Linked DNA regions of Lepisosteus oculatus. The protein of the gene in region 1 interacts with the protein of each later gene in a pairwise test. Links are inferred from orthologs where the notes say so. Each region holds a gene or a part of one and is shown in the gene's direction. Other genes may lie near its edges.

Region 1 (7,671 bases):
TGGAGCTGGAGAAGGAATTTCATTTCAACAAGTATCTGTGCCGACCGAGAAGGGTGGAGATAGCGGCTTTGCTAGATCTGACTGAGAGGCAAGTCAAAGTGTGGTTTCAGAACAGGCGAATGAAGCACAAAAGGCAAACCCAGTGCAAAGAGAATCACAACGGCGAGGGGAAGCTCAGGAACCCGGAGGACGGCGGGCAGAGCGAGGAGGAGAAGTCGCTTTTCGAGCAAGCCCTCAACAATGTCTCAGGAGCCCTCTTGGAAAGGGAGGGCTACGCTTTTCAACAAAATTCTCTGACTCCACAACAGGCTCCGAACGCGCACAATGGAGATTCCCAAAGTTTTACTGTGTCGCCTTTAAGCAGCAATGACAAAAATCTGAAACATTTTCAGAGCCCGTCACCCACTGTTCAGAACTGCCTGTCAACAATGGCCCATGACTGCACAGCTGGCCTCCACAATGACAGCCCCGAGGCCCTGGACGTGTCCTCTTTACAGGATTTTAACGTTTTCTCTTCAGATTCCTGCCTGCACCTTTCAGATGCCGTTTCCCCTAGTTTGCCAGAGTCTCTCGACAGCCCTGTAGACATTTCTGCCGACAGTTTTGATTTTTTCTCGGACACTCTCACAACAATCGACTTGCAGCATCTCAGCTATTAAATGGGGGGGGGAAAATCCGGTCTAGCGACTCTTCATTGCAAAAAGAAAAAAAAAACTATGCCTTCTCCTTTATTCTAAGTTGATTTGTTTATTTCTTTCTTTGATATGGTCAGTACATTTTGTTTATTAATGAATGAATTAGTTAATTCAGTACAGAAGATAAAAGTCCACGCTCTAATTTTTGTAAAAGTTTAGTCTGGCAATAATTACAATTAACCATTTAAACATTAATTCTCCAAAAGCAATACATTGGTTCTGTAAAAAAAAATAGAATTTAGTCTCTGTTCTTTTATTTTTGTATCGCTTTCGGGTACATTGTCATGAATATTTTGTTAGAATAAATTTTACTTGCTACAGGTAGCTTTCAATAATTGTGTCACTGCATTATTTCCAGGTCCAAATGAAAATTAAAATGTATTTTTATATTACCCGCCTCTCAAACAACACGAGATTGAACAAAATGGAAGGTCAGAATATTTTATTATTCCACAACAAATCAAAAATGAACATAAAGAAAGGTACAATGTTAAACGTATTTTAGAAAAATAACAGTAAAGTATACATTTAAATGTATCAGCAATTAACTTTTTAAAATTAAATTTATGAGTCAAATTTTCAAATTCGTTTTCAAAAATATAATTTGTATAATCTGTACAGGATAATATTTGGGTGTAATTCCTAAAACTACTTATTATTACCATCACCAATAATAATAATAATAATAATAATAATAATAATAATAATAATAATAATAATAATAATAATAATATAATGTTTTCCATTGTGTCTCTCTCTTGAAACCCAAAACTATTCTTCGTTCCCGAACCTAAAATAAGATAAAAAGTATTTACTAAAACAAACAGCAATTTCAAAGTTTTACAGGCATGTTCTTTTTCTTTCATAACAACAAAAACTTTAAAAGCGCAGTTAGTGCAAAAGACCGTTTCACCGAGTTTCAATCTCGCAGGACGTGGTGGAATGGGATTCTGCCGGGTGAGCTCAGGCAGTAGCTGAACACGAACAACTAGAAAGAGCTTCCAGCGGGGAAATGTCTAAATGAATTAAATATAGTTTCATATAGGAATCTTTCGGGATGCTGCATTCGGTGCATAGTCGGAAATAGAAAACTCTTGGACAGGCATAGGTAATTTTGCACTTTAAAATAAAACATTGAATAATCTTAATATTGTTTAAGTTAAAACGCACTGTATCGTAGCCTTCTGTAGTTTACAGCCTTCGTCCTTTTAAAAGACAGGCACAGAGTTATTGTTACGGCTTACACTTGGTATCTGTGGAAATCAAACTTCGTATTGCTGGAGTTTGTGCAAAAAGCGGCTTTATGCAGACTAGAGCCCGGCTTCTCAGAAAGCGCCCTGGCTTAGTTTGTATTACTCTGCAAAACGTGATGGAATTGCGTAAGAAGTGGCTGGAAGGCCTGGATGAAATTCTTCCCAAACTCATAAATCAAACTCTCTTTTATGAATGAGAATGTCATCAAAGAGATCAATTGCAGGAGCACATGCACAAATAAAAACCTCTTACGTATTTGGAGGGACTGGGGATTCCCAGCCAAAAGCATTAACTTTGTAGGCGTTCGGCAGTAATTCATTTTTATTGCCATTTAAACCAGCAGAGCGGCCTGAGAACGGCCGCCGATGCACCGAGATGCTCTCTGCTCAACTCAGAGCGGGTGTTACAATCTCTTTAAGTGCACTTTTAAAATATATATAATATTCTTCGATTTGTTTAGTTAAAAGTTTATGTTCACATTTAACAATGGACTTCAAATCGACATAAACGTAGTTTGTCTTATGCACCAAAATATATGTATATTTAAGATTATTTTTATATAGTTTTTCCTAAAAGGGTGTCTATAGTGAGCCTTTCTATTTAGTCAATAAAATTATTCTTCTTTATTATCCACATTCTATGCCTCATCCAGAGATTGTAATTTGTTATTACGATGATATTTTCCTCTAATTTGGAATCGATCGAACATTATTAAATCTATTAAACTGTAAACCACATAGGCAATAACGTGACATTTTGCCAATTATATGTTGCCATAAAGCAAATTTTCTCTGGACACAAACATCTAGAAACCTTTAAAGAATGAAGACTTTTTCGGGACTATCTCCCACGCTGGCGAATCGACGGTTTTGAAAGGAATTGTATCAGAGTGCCCCTGAAACAATACCTCCTTTCTTTCGCAACTCCGGCTGTCAACAATTCGCATTTTAAAGACGTGGGCGATGTGGAAACTTCACAGAGCTGGACAGGCCTGTTAATGTATTTCTGGGTTTTTTTTATTGTGATGGTAAGTTTACATGCCTTTCCATTTTGTGCGTTCTATCTTATAAGGTATACTATTTTTTTGTATGTGAAAAAAAACACAAAACAGTGCAGATTGTGCACACGTACTAAACGACATACGTTCATCTGGCAATATTTGAAAGCTTAAATGTGTAGTTACTGCAGACAGAGCTGGGCGTTGTGAAAGAGCCACCTTTCCTGAATCCCTGGATTCAAGCGAGATCGCCATCTTATTGCACAGCGCTGACCACGGAGTCTCGCCTTGTGTAAGGTCGCAGTGGAAACAGGGCCGGTGGACAAAACACCACGTAATCGGGAAAGCCTAAATATACATATTGGGTATATGATAACAGCAATAGAATAAATGTGCATTGTAGGATAACTAAATTAACGCCGGGTAATTTCGTTATCGATTAATCGATGGATACGTTTAATCATGCTGACGCACAAACAAGTTTAGGGGTGAATGGCTAAAATATTCCATTCTGGAACCACTACGCTATTATAGGAAACCTTCTGTGGGGTGGCATGTTTCGATATTACTCTTCTTCAGCTGTTGCTCGTGCCATTTAGACATTTGTATGCCAGTTTAGATGGTTTTGTCTGACCGACATAGCCCCTTTACAACTTTTTATCGAATTAAGAGAAATTACGTCCTAAAAAGCATTAAGTATTTAGAGGAACGGTTTCGGAAGCTGTGCTAAAAAAAAAACGAATGAAGAGAGTCACGTCAGCTATATTGTGAGGGAAACCGCACACCAGGCGGGATAAAGTCTTATTTGTAGAGTTGAATGGTTGGTCTCTCAAAGTTGGCTCGTCTCTACAGACCCAGCGGATATGAGCAGATGAACCGCGTCACAGCTCCCCTCTCAGGCTCCGCCCATTTCAGGGGTTTCCCAGGCCGGTCCTGAAGGGGCGCGATCCTGAAGGTTTTCTAGGTCTCCTGAGATCAGCGGCACCTCCAGACTTGAGAAAATCTGCTCAACTCTTCCATCGAAGCCAATAAGTAGCTAAATTAGACCATTGACGGCTGTGCTGCGATGAAAGCCAGCAGGACTGCGAGCCTCCGGGGCTAGGCTTGGGAAACCAAGACCTATATCGTAGAATGAAAGACGTGTCGGTTTAGACTGTAGTCCAGCCTGTGTTCACCTCCAGCCGCCGGAGAAGGTGATGCGCGGAGCTCAGAGCGCTCTGATAGCATCGCTGACTTTGGTTACAGAAGGCTCTCATCTCCATGCCGACAGCTGTGAACACACACAGACACCTGATAGGATGCGACCTGTCTGCCGGCTCTCGAATGCTGACGAGCAGCAACTTCAATCCAAGCATCGACCCCCAGCTAAATGTTGAATCGAGCTCACCTTGTCTTTTCACACTACAACACTCAGAAGGCAAACGTGAAATACATGCTAAATTCCAAATCCCACTTTATAAATGTGCCCCAAAGACATATTTAATCTTAGACTTGATGTTGACTACAATAATACGTTCAGTTAAACAGAAAACATTTCACAACCAGAGATGGCGCTTTTCTTACCTTGTGCTTAAGTGATGCTGAAACAGCTGTGCTTTCGGGATGGAAAAGCGAGAAAAGAAGAAACGTTATCCATCAGGAACATGGGCTGTTTATTGTCTCGAGAAGTGTCCTGAACGATTTCCGCTGCACTCTGTCTCGCCCATTGTTTGAACTAGCAATACATTACGGGCTGGTGTGCGTCACCTTGATAGAGGAGCGTGGAGAATTTAAATGTCTGTAAACCGGTGATCTATCACCGCCAGCAGAAGGCTATCTCAGCACCGCTGTGCAGCCACTGGCGGACACGAGTCACGTGACCCCCGCTCCTCATTCATATCGGTCTGTGCTGGCCCGATGGACGAACTGGGCAAGTTGGCACGGTCACCCGGGCTGGAGCACGGTCATCGCTTCAGACCTGACCAGTCGTGACAGGTAGACAATGCTACAATGAGCTCCTTCTTAGATTACCCTGTGATCAGCGGAGAAACCGCATCCTGCTCCTCCAGGGCTTTTCACCCAGACCATGGGATTACAACTTTCCCGTCGTGCTCTGTCACAACTAATACCTGCGGCGCTGACGATCGCTTTGGCGTGGGCAGGGGCTCGCCAGGGGGCATTCCTCACCACCCTCACCAGCCGGCCGCCTACCAGCCTCACAGCAGCCTGAGCCTCACCTACCCCAGTCACCCCAGCTGTGGCGCGGGGTATGCCACACAGGGCTTCTGTGCGAGTTACAATCATTACCCACTGAACCAAGACGTGGAGTCTAGCGCGGGGTACCCTCAGTGCGCCCCAGCAGTTTACTCGGGGAACATTTCGGCTTCCATGGTGCAGCACCACCAGGGCTACACCGGAGCGTCGGTGGGGGTACTTCCGTACACGCACGGCGCTTACGGCCACGAGCAGGCGAACCTGCCCCTTCCCGGCTACACGAACCCCCTGTCTCCTCTCCACGCCTCTCACCACGACCCCTGCTGCTCTCCTCTGGCCGAGACATCGCCCCAAGCACAGACCTTTGACTGGATGAAAGTCAAAAGAAATCCGCCCAAGACCGGTGAGTGTCACGCTGTTGCGCACCTTTCTGACCGTTGATGTGTCTTTCTGCGACGCTTAAGGAAAACTGAATTCAACAGTTTATTTCTGTATCGTTTAGTTGTGTTGTACTGTTGTCATGCAAAAAGCACATGTGACGAGATTCTGTAACCCTTGTGCGTTTCCTCAAGGAGCACCTATTCTATACCCAGCCTGTGGAAGTCGACCTCAAAGTGTTTTCCACCTGTTCGCCCGGTTTTGTCATTAAGCGCACATCCTCTGTGATGTTCTCTCACACGAATGTCGATGCTCAGGCTGACATCCTCTGCACTTTTTTTGGTTTCCAGGGAAAGTTGGAGAATACGGTTTCGCCGGCCAGCCCAACACGGTGAGAACGAACTTCACCACCAAGCAGCTGACGGAGCTGGAGAAGGAGTTTCATTTCAACAAGTACCTCACGCGAGCCAGGCGGGTGGAGATCGCAGCAGCTCTGCAGCTCAACGAGACTCAGGTGAAAATCTGGTTCCAGAACCGGAGGATGAAGCAAAAGAAACGCGAGAAAGAAGGTCTGTTGCCGAGTTCTCCGTCGGCAGCAGCAGAAAGCGAAGAAAGAGAAGACGCGTCGGAAAGATCCCTTTCCGCCCCTTCGACACCTTCTCCAGCCTCATCCTCAGCGTCCACCGCGGAGACGTGTCCCTCCAGCTGAAGCTCCTGAGCAGCGCGCTGACAGACCAGCCTGTCATGCGGCTGCACCTCTGAGCTCCAGTCATACTCATCGGAGGAATGTGGCAGATTGCATTGTCCGCATTTTATCATGTTGTTTTAGTGATATAGAGCAAGTAAGTGCTGGGATTTAGATGATCGGAATTTCAATGACAACAATATGTATTAAAACACAAGACAGATGACACAGTACATACTGCAGTCAGCAAGCTGTTTTCAACCACATGTGTAACTTCCCCATAATTTCAGGTGATGATGACAAATCTAGAGAAATGCACTAAATGCAGAGAGTTTGCAGTCGGGTGATCTTGCCTAAACTCTTCAGCTTATGATTTGCAATTATGTAATTACTTTGATGCAGTTATAATATGTGTATTTAATCCATTTTTTAGAATCTCTTTTTACATAACGACGGTAAGATGTTAAGGGTATAGAAAGACACAACTTAGGAGCGATCTTACATTTTTTTTATTTTATACAGGAAAAAACGATAATGAAAAACAGATACCTCATAAAGAAGACAAGCTCACTTTATTGTAAATTGTGTTTATTTGTGTGAAATAAAACGAAATTGCACTGAAACGTTTTACTATTGAAATGTTCAAAGTGGGCTCATCCCGAGCCTGTGAAGTCGCACACTTTAAATACCTCGGAATACCAAGTTGTATTTGACACCTGTGTTCGTGACGACGTCTGCATGATGCACAGCGCTTTGATGTACCTCCCTTAACACTGAGTTTTATCAGTTGTAAAAGTATATTTCTGTACAAGCGAAGAAACTATAACAACACATGTAATGTATTTGAATCGAGTAAAGTTTACGGGTCTATGTATGATATGTATTAAAACTATCCTGCTTCTAAACAAACCAGAAATGACTTTTTTTTCCCACAACAGGGTTAGGAGTTAATTTGGGATCATAACTTAGTTCGTTTTAATATAAAGGTAGTATAGTCTACCTGCACATACCTGCGCATTTTATTGCTAAACAGTTTTCTCCTCATTAGCCTCTCATTAGCCTCAAAATGACGAATATTTTTCAGCTTCCCTTTGGAGTTTGTATGGCAGAGAGAAAGAATTCCAGTCGAATTCCAGTCTCCGGGCCCTTTCATCTGACGTCGCAGAAGCTACTGACATGAAAGTCAACACCGCAGTCTCCAGAACGAGCCTTTTCATGGAGTTTGCCTGCAGTGCTACACCGAAGGGGCCATAATGTTTAACTTTAAAGGCCGGAGAAAACAAAACCGAGAAAAATACTTATTTTCTTTTTGACCGGATCCTAAGAAGCCTTTTTTTTGCACGCTACAGCATGGCAGCATGTGTAGTCTGTTTGCACTAGATTTTTACAGACCGTGCGCGAATACTATAGAGGAGCATTTTCTTAATTATAATCTTAGTCATTCTACAATTCCATTAAACTATTGGATA
Region 2 (7,624 bases), about 11 Mb from region 1:
AATTTGTGAAGTTTTCTAAACATGACAGCATTACACAAATGAATGGGCTTTTGAGTACAGGCTCAAAATGTTCCATTCCTTACTTACTTTATGACATATTCTGGCAACAACACTAGCAACATTAGCAATATTATTCATGTGGCATTAATGAATACAGTGAACAGATGTTAACGAGATTTTGTTGCATTTGATATAGCAATTTAGAGAATAATTTTATTTGTAAAAATGGAACTATAGCAAATGCTTCCAACTGAATAATAATTATATATCATTTACAGTAATTATTATGGCAATGATTTTAAACAAAGTCTAACTTTTTTTCCAGCAGCAAGGAAAAATGCAGCTATTGATGTGACCACATATTCTAGATGTGATGAAGTGGTTAGTCCCTGAACAGCAGGCCAATCTACAACCACCCTGCCTAAACTTTCTATCCAGTTTACTGCCCAACACACAAAATGTACATTTTAACTGGACCTTTCTGTTGCATGCCATGGTATCTAAGATCATGCCAAAGCTTAACAAATGGTGTTAATGACTGTTTTGTCATTTTGTCTTCACAAATTGAACAAGATGCACACATGACATGATGCCTTGTATGTTTCTGTTAATTGTTCTTCATTTTGTAATAATCTGATTAAATAATATTAAATAAAATACAAATGCTTCATAGAGTTATTGCTTGGATCAGTAATTTTCTGTCATGCCAAGTTCTACATTTTCTTACATGTGTAACAAATAACTCCACTTTTCTCACATACTGTATTTTCAGTATTCATTTCTGGGTAAAATCAATCTCTTAGTTCTGCTCTTAAAATAATACAAATAAAGTGGAATCAATATTTGTTTTTAAGTTTGCATACATTTTATTTTTCATTTTGAAAATGGGTAAACATTCTTACAGCATGTCCTTGTTTCTGTTTGTGTGTTCCATTAACAGGTTTTTAGTGCCGCTGATGATCTGCTAATCTCATTTGGCATTCACAACCCTGTCTGCTATTTTTCTTGCGTTCTTTGGTTATTTGTGTTTAAATTCTGTTACTTTGTGCCACTAGCAAACCAGTATGTCAAAAAAATACAATACAGAGATAGATTTTCCTTATCCCATCAACTTATGAAGAAAATGTTAGCAATGTAGACAGCCTGAACATAACCCAATACTAATACTTCAGTCTGATCATGCATTATTCATTGTGCCTGTAGTGTTTGTGCTATCTGTGGAGACATGTAGCATTCAACAGAAACATTTCACAAGCTACATTAATGTGCGTAGGTAGGCTTCACAACTCTGCTCTGCTCTATTGACGTTTGTTATGGTTTAGAAACGTGTTTCTCTTACAGACTTTGATATCAAAATGTTATATAGAAGTACAAATATGTAAAGTATAAATATGTACAGTACCGTTCACAATATAAATATGTTTGCTAAACTGAGATCTATAGCTACAATTTTTAATTAATTAGGAAAAAATGTTAAAACAATGAGTAAATTAATAAAGAACAAGTAAAGTTTGGGTTCGTGTTATCCTTGCTATTTGTAGTTGGTTTGTTTCATCAGTGATATTTGAGCTGTGGCTTGAAATTCAGTCCCTGAGGGAATTTACAGAGACAGATCCTTGTAGTCTGAAGTCAAGTTAAATCTCATTGATTACACAGAAAGTCCATTACACTACTTTTGTCAGCTCTCAAACTAATCTGTTCCACCTTAACTGATTTATGGTTTCTGCAGAAAAAGGGTTGAATACTTAAGAAATTCTGAATCTTACAATCTTACAATAACTAATTTACAATCAGGATTTATTTTAATTTAGTAGTTTGGAGTAGACTTTGCAGATTCTAAATATAAAATCATATTTGACAGTGTCATGATTGTAAGTTCAAACAGTGACAACAAATTGTAGCACTGCAGATCGATAGTTGAAATGTTGAAACAATAGTTAGTCCAAGAAATTACACTAGGATTCTGATTCCTTAATTCCTATTACTGCCTGCTAGATAAAATTATTTAGAGTATTTTAATTTAATTTAATTTGAAATCTGGTCTTACTGTATATGGTATGCCCAATAATGACTATTGTACTGATTTATGATTCACATGATACAGAACTAAATTGTTATTCTTACAGAAAAAAGTATACTGTACATAGACCATGGCTATACAATAATGATACATACATATGGTGAAGAGATTTTTTAAGAGAAAGAAGCACCTACAGTAACTAGCAAACCATTTTTTTTTCATTTTCACATATTTTTTATTTACACAAAATCTCTAATGTTGCCTCTGCAGAGAAAAACAATTTGTCATACTAACTTTTCTCTCAGGTTAAAAGTCTAAAAACTAAACAATAAGTTACAGACAGGAACATTAACTTAGTTGCATTACAATATTAAGTCTATTAAAGGAATATTTAATGGTGTAACAATGAGAATTCTTGTCGTGCATTTTGCAAAGACACCTTTTTAGAAGTTTTGTAAAGATACACTTTGCAAAACATAATAATTTTACATTATTCGCTACTGCCTTAAGGCAGTGTGATGGAAGTTTTTTTTTTCTCATCATAATGTTCAGCTTGAATTAGTCTCTGTAGCCCTAAATGATCTTATAATGGTGAGCCTACATTTGGCAAGCATTGCTAGAAATAATGGACTTCAATACATTTCACTTTTCTGCAATTTTTTCTACACAATTTATTGTTGGCAATATCGTAAGCTATTTCATGGCAATTTGAGATTTTTAAGTGGGAAAAGTAGGAGGTGTGTAGATTTTTCCATTTGGTCTTCAGTAATTCAACTTAAAACAGGGCTGGAGAAGTTCAATTAATGTTATGTTAGAAACATAAGATATATCAATAGTTTCTTGGTCACTATATGATGCATTAGGCAATTTTCCTACAAGTTATGGTTGCTCATCATAATGACTACAAATAACAGCTATGTAAAAACTCATCCTAAGAAGCAAATAAGACATACTGTATTTTGTATAATTGTTCTCAGATCTTTCACCATACAATCCCATGGAACTTGTATGGACCCCATTTCTAAACAAACTTGTTCTTCAAAAAAAAGTTCCTATTGTGAGTTTGCATATACAGTACAACATACATTTACATCATTCTGCATTTTTAAACCACAGATAAACCTGTAAGCTATTAAAAACAAGCACGGTATATGAAAAATAATGTGAAAACAATTAGACAACCTTTTGGAAAAAAAAACTGAATTTAGTTTAATAAGGAGAACTCTTTTATAAGTAGATCTTTCAGAAATTAGTGGGTTAGAAACAGGAATACAACTCAAATTCTGAAGTTCCCTTCAAACTTATTTTCCTGTCCTGTATAAGATCTAATACTTTATCCTAAATTGATAACAGATAGGATTTCTGTCCCTGTGGACAGACAGAAAGTAAACATTTTTACAACATTTTAAATTACCTTCAAAATGAGTAGCAGTATCCATGGCAACACCAAACCATTTCTGCTCCTCCACTGCTTTAATATTGATAACATTATAGTAGCTTTTTACAAACCAGGAATGGGCACTGCCAGAATTTATCTTCTAATGATGTGCACCTTGACACTGAATGTACAGGATCCTAGTCTGGGTAACTCAGACAAACGCGGCAAACACAGAACTGTTAAGTCTGACATTTTTCAGCTTCCAGTGTAAAACTATTTAACTAGATGTGAATAATGTTATTTGCATTTCCACCTTGAAATAAAAGTAATTTATAAATCTGATTCACTTCACCACGAACTGGGATATCCATTTAAAATTACAGGAGAAAACAGCTCAACACGTTTGACACACAAAAAAGAAAAGCATTAAAGCAGTAAATGTTATTAAATGATGGTCTGTTTTCTTTTAAAATCAATCTTTCTTACACTAATCCCAAGTGAAATGAAGAGTTTGGAAACAGCAAATCCGGTTTAATGAAATTCTTTTTTTAAAATTAAGTGGTCGTTAGAGTTTCCTGATGTCTCATAATTTACAGTCACGGGAAGAGAGGAAGCACTCATTTTTATTACTTCGATGTGAACTGAAAATGACCACCATCACTTGTGAAGTTATACAGTAACGCGGCTGCTTCTTTTTCAATAATAATAAACTTAAATACTTAACTTAATTGTTGCCAGGAAAGCTGTCCGACAATAATATCGTGCAGGAGAGCACTAACAATAATGTTTCTGGTGTACGGTAATCAAACTTGGGATTTCGAATGAATGCGATTTATATACCGAGAGGAATTAAAATATTTTCCAATACTCATTTTGTTGAGTTTTGAATGTATCTCAGTACATCTTGATTAATGTTAAGACAACTATTGATTTATCTATTCATGCAGTTGTTTTCATATTGACATTTTTCACAGGAACGTCGAACCGTACTCATTTTGAAGAAAATGTTAGCACACTGTCTCTACAGCATCAGTTTGGCTACTCTGTCGGAAGCCGAACATTTTTGAAGGTGTGTTGCCAATATGAGTTATCAGTCATCCAATCGGAGAAAGGCAAACTAGAGCTACAGCGGTTTTCCTGCATTAATTCATTGGTTTTCTTTCGCCCTACAGCCTGCCCAATCACCGCGACGCATGTCCAGAGGGCTTTATAAATAGTTCAGCAGAACATTTAACTTCATGGATAAAGGAATTGGAAGACTCAAAATAGCAGGGAGGGCGAAAACCTAAAGAAGATAATGCAAACAAAAAGTCAAAATATAAACGGAGCTATGCGTCTGTTCTTGTTCAGCGCTTTTGCAACGGTGAGTTTTTTTTATCATTTTTTTGTAAAGCATTAATGTTGTTGTTTTTCTAATTCGGTTAGAAAAATATCGATACCCCATCTTCTTATTTTTGCTAGTCCAGTGATGATATTATTATTATTATTATTATTATTATTATTACAGTTGTGCTCCCTGGCGACAGGCCATGCGTGCTCACCTCAGTGCAGGTGTCCTGAAGAGGCACCTCTGTGCCCTCCTGGGATTCAGCTGGTGCTGGACGACTGCGCTTGCTGCCTCGTTTGCGCTCGCCAGAAAGGCGAAAGTTGCTCAGAGAGATACCCCTGCGACACCCGTAAGGGCCTGCATTGCGATTATACCGCAGGAGTCAATGAGCAGACCGGTGTTTGCGTGGGTGAGCAAAGAGTTCGTGATCTTTTAATTTTCGTAATTGTTGGTGTCTTTCAGGTGTATGTTTGAATGCAGTTTGCACCTTAAAGCAAGAACTAAATCCGTTAAAAAATAGGACAATACAGCTACAGGCATGCGCTGGAAAATTTGGGGGAAAAATAATCTGTGCTGCGTAACTCTTTGAATCTCTTGATTCATTAAGATTGAAAAGTAAATTATGTCCTGGACGCTCAGATACCTAAATTTAGTTATTAAAAACACCTGTTCACTGGCGTCCTCTGATGCAGAAATACAAATTTACCATTGGTCAATGGTAGTTAGGTTTCTATTTTACACAATTAAATTATGCCACAGCGAAAAATGGACATTCACAGACTTTTTAGATGAGTTATGGTTGTTAAAATCCTGTTAAGGATTTATTGGCCTCTTAAAGTGCCAGCAGTAAACCTAATTTGTATTTCAAAATTTTTGCTTTCTGTGATTTTTTTTATTTGGATTTCTTTGTAATTGTTTTCGATGAGTGTTTCTATCCCTGATCTTAAAGGTCTTTACATTAAAAAGTTTGGTACTTAAAGTGATGGATTAGATAGTCAACCCAAAGTTTTAAATCTGTATTTTAATTCAGTATTCCAGGAATAGTATTCTTATCGGATCGTGGTTTAAAACGCATATTTGTTTATTCTCAAGTATGTTTATTTTTTTTTACAAACGTCAGATTATGAGTCCATACCTGTAAATGTAAAGAGAAAAATGTTGTCTTCAGTTTCTCATCTCCTAGCGTCTCTGCGAGATTAAAAAAAACCGTTGCTGGAGCAGAGGTCGCAGATTCCCACCCTACTGAGCATTTTGCACTGCTCTATCATTTTCTCTAAACCGGAACCTCATAAATCTTGAACGCAGAGCTGCCACAAAACGCGCGGTATTTAAATACGTTCCTCGGCTGCCCCCTCCCCTTGTTTACAGCCCGGGAAGGAGACATCTGCGTGTTGGATGGCTCCGTCTATCAAAACGGGGAAACCTTCTTCCCCAGCTGCCAGTATCAGTGCGCCTGCAGGGACGGAGAGATCGGCTGCGTCCCCCGCTGTAACCTGGACGTCCTGCTGCCGGGCCCCTCCTGCCCCTTCCCCCGGAGAGCGCGGCTGCCAGGAGAGTGCTGCGAGACCTGGGTGTGCGACTCCAGGGCACACACCTCGCTGGGGGGCTTGGCGATGGCGGGTGAGGAATGGCTTCGACCGACCAACCGATAGACACCCCAGTGGTAACCGCTTTAAATCAACAGCTGCGGCTACTCTGCACCAAGATGAGAGATAACTACAGGGCAGCCAAAGGTCATGGGGCCATACTGCAAATCTAGCGAGCTCTCATACTGCAGTGGTCCGATTTGAAATAAGTATTTTTTTCGATGCTTTTTTTCCTTTATGGTTTTCATTTGTTTGTTTATATGTGGACACTTTCACTCTTTAAAGCTTTCTTGATGAAAATCAGTGTTTGGCTCTAAGGCCCTGTCTGATTTGTGGCAGTGTCGCTAAAGTCTGACATGGAGAACTCTTCATTACTATTTAGAGTACTGCTTCAACTATTTCCCAAAAGGTCTGTTCCAGCAGCTCCAAAAAGCTAAAATAAAAACCTCACTTTGGGCTGTCAGACCTACTCCCCTTTGCGACAGATACAGTACCTCAAGAAATACACTAATGAGACAACTTTCCAAGCACTGTTGATAAAACCCACCTAAAACTCGACCACCGTGTTGAAGTGAAAAACATTACCTGTAGTGCCTCGAGTTTGATTAGCATGTTTATACTTTATATATCAACTTTCGGCAAATTTTAATTGAGTGAAAAAGCTTTGAAAAACTCTATATAAATACAGATGAACTGTGTCTACTGCCAGCAATACCTGAAACTGTAGGATCACAAACCACAGTTTTAATTGGAAAAAGAGACGTTTTCATCTTTAGGTTAGAAAGGGGTTTTCCCTAACATCCTAACCATTATCCAAAGCATAAAAAGAAGCAGGTGACATACAAGCAACGTCTAGCAACTGAACCTGTTTTTATATAGATTAAACAAGGACATTTTTAACCATTTTTCTTTGCTTTAAATGTAACTTTAGCTTACAGGCAGGAGGGAACGGCTGGAATTGACATCTTAGACCCCGGTCTCAACTGCATCGAGCAGACCACAGAGTGGGGGGCCTGCTCGCGGACCTGCGGGATGGGTGTCTCAACGCGGGTCACGAATCGGAACCGACGCTGCGAGATGGTGAAGCAGAGCCGCCTCTGTCTCGTCAGACCCTGCGGCGAACAGGAGCGAAGTGATGCCGCCAAGGTATCACTTGTCAGTCCTGCGTTATACTGGTGTAAAAAGTGATGGTACTGCATCTTAATTCAGCATGAAAAAGCCCTTTAACTTTGATGCACAAGCTCCATGTCGTTAATTTTTCGCAATACGATGAATTAGTCTTTCCGCTCTGAAGCTCGTATATACTGAACTAC

The links. The genes of interacting proteins can lie anywhere in the genome.
Region 2: the proteins of hoxa1a (region 1) and ccn3 interact in binary tests that used the Homo sapiens proteins (3 or more experiments, as listed by UniProt). The link is inferred for Lepisosteus oculatus from reciprocal best matches to the Homo sapiens genes HOXA1 and CCN3.

The regions. Positions count from the first base shown.
Region 1 is NC_090705.1:602,707-610,377, forward strand, and holds hoxa1a (homeobox protein Hox-A1a), read left to right. Parts: upstream 1-4,829; 5' UTR 4,830-4,935; coding exon 4,936-5,542; intron 5,543-5,867; coding exon 5,868-6,226; 3' UTR 6,227-7,158; downstream 7,159-7,671. Other genes in the region: hoxa2b (homeobox protein Hox-A2b), read left to right, coding at 1-659. UniProt on the Homo sapiens protein: Sequence-specific transcription factor. Regulates multiple developmental processes including brainstem, inner and outer ear, abducens nerve and cardiovascular development and morphogenesis as well as cognition and behavior.
Region 2 is NC_090705.1:11,431,386-11,439,009, reverse strand, and holds the start of ccn3 (CCN family member 3), read left to right. Parts: upstream 1-4,607; 5' UTR 4,608-4,695; coding exon 4,696-4,761; intron 4,762-4,905; coding exon 4,906-5,134; intron 5,135-6,093; coding exon 6,094-6,345; intron 6,346-7,242; coding exon 7,243-7,457; intron 7,458-7,624. UniProt on the Homo sapiens protein: Immediate-early protein playing a role in various cellular processes including proliferation, adhesion, migration, differentiation and survival. Acts by binding to integrins or membrane receptors such as NOTCH1.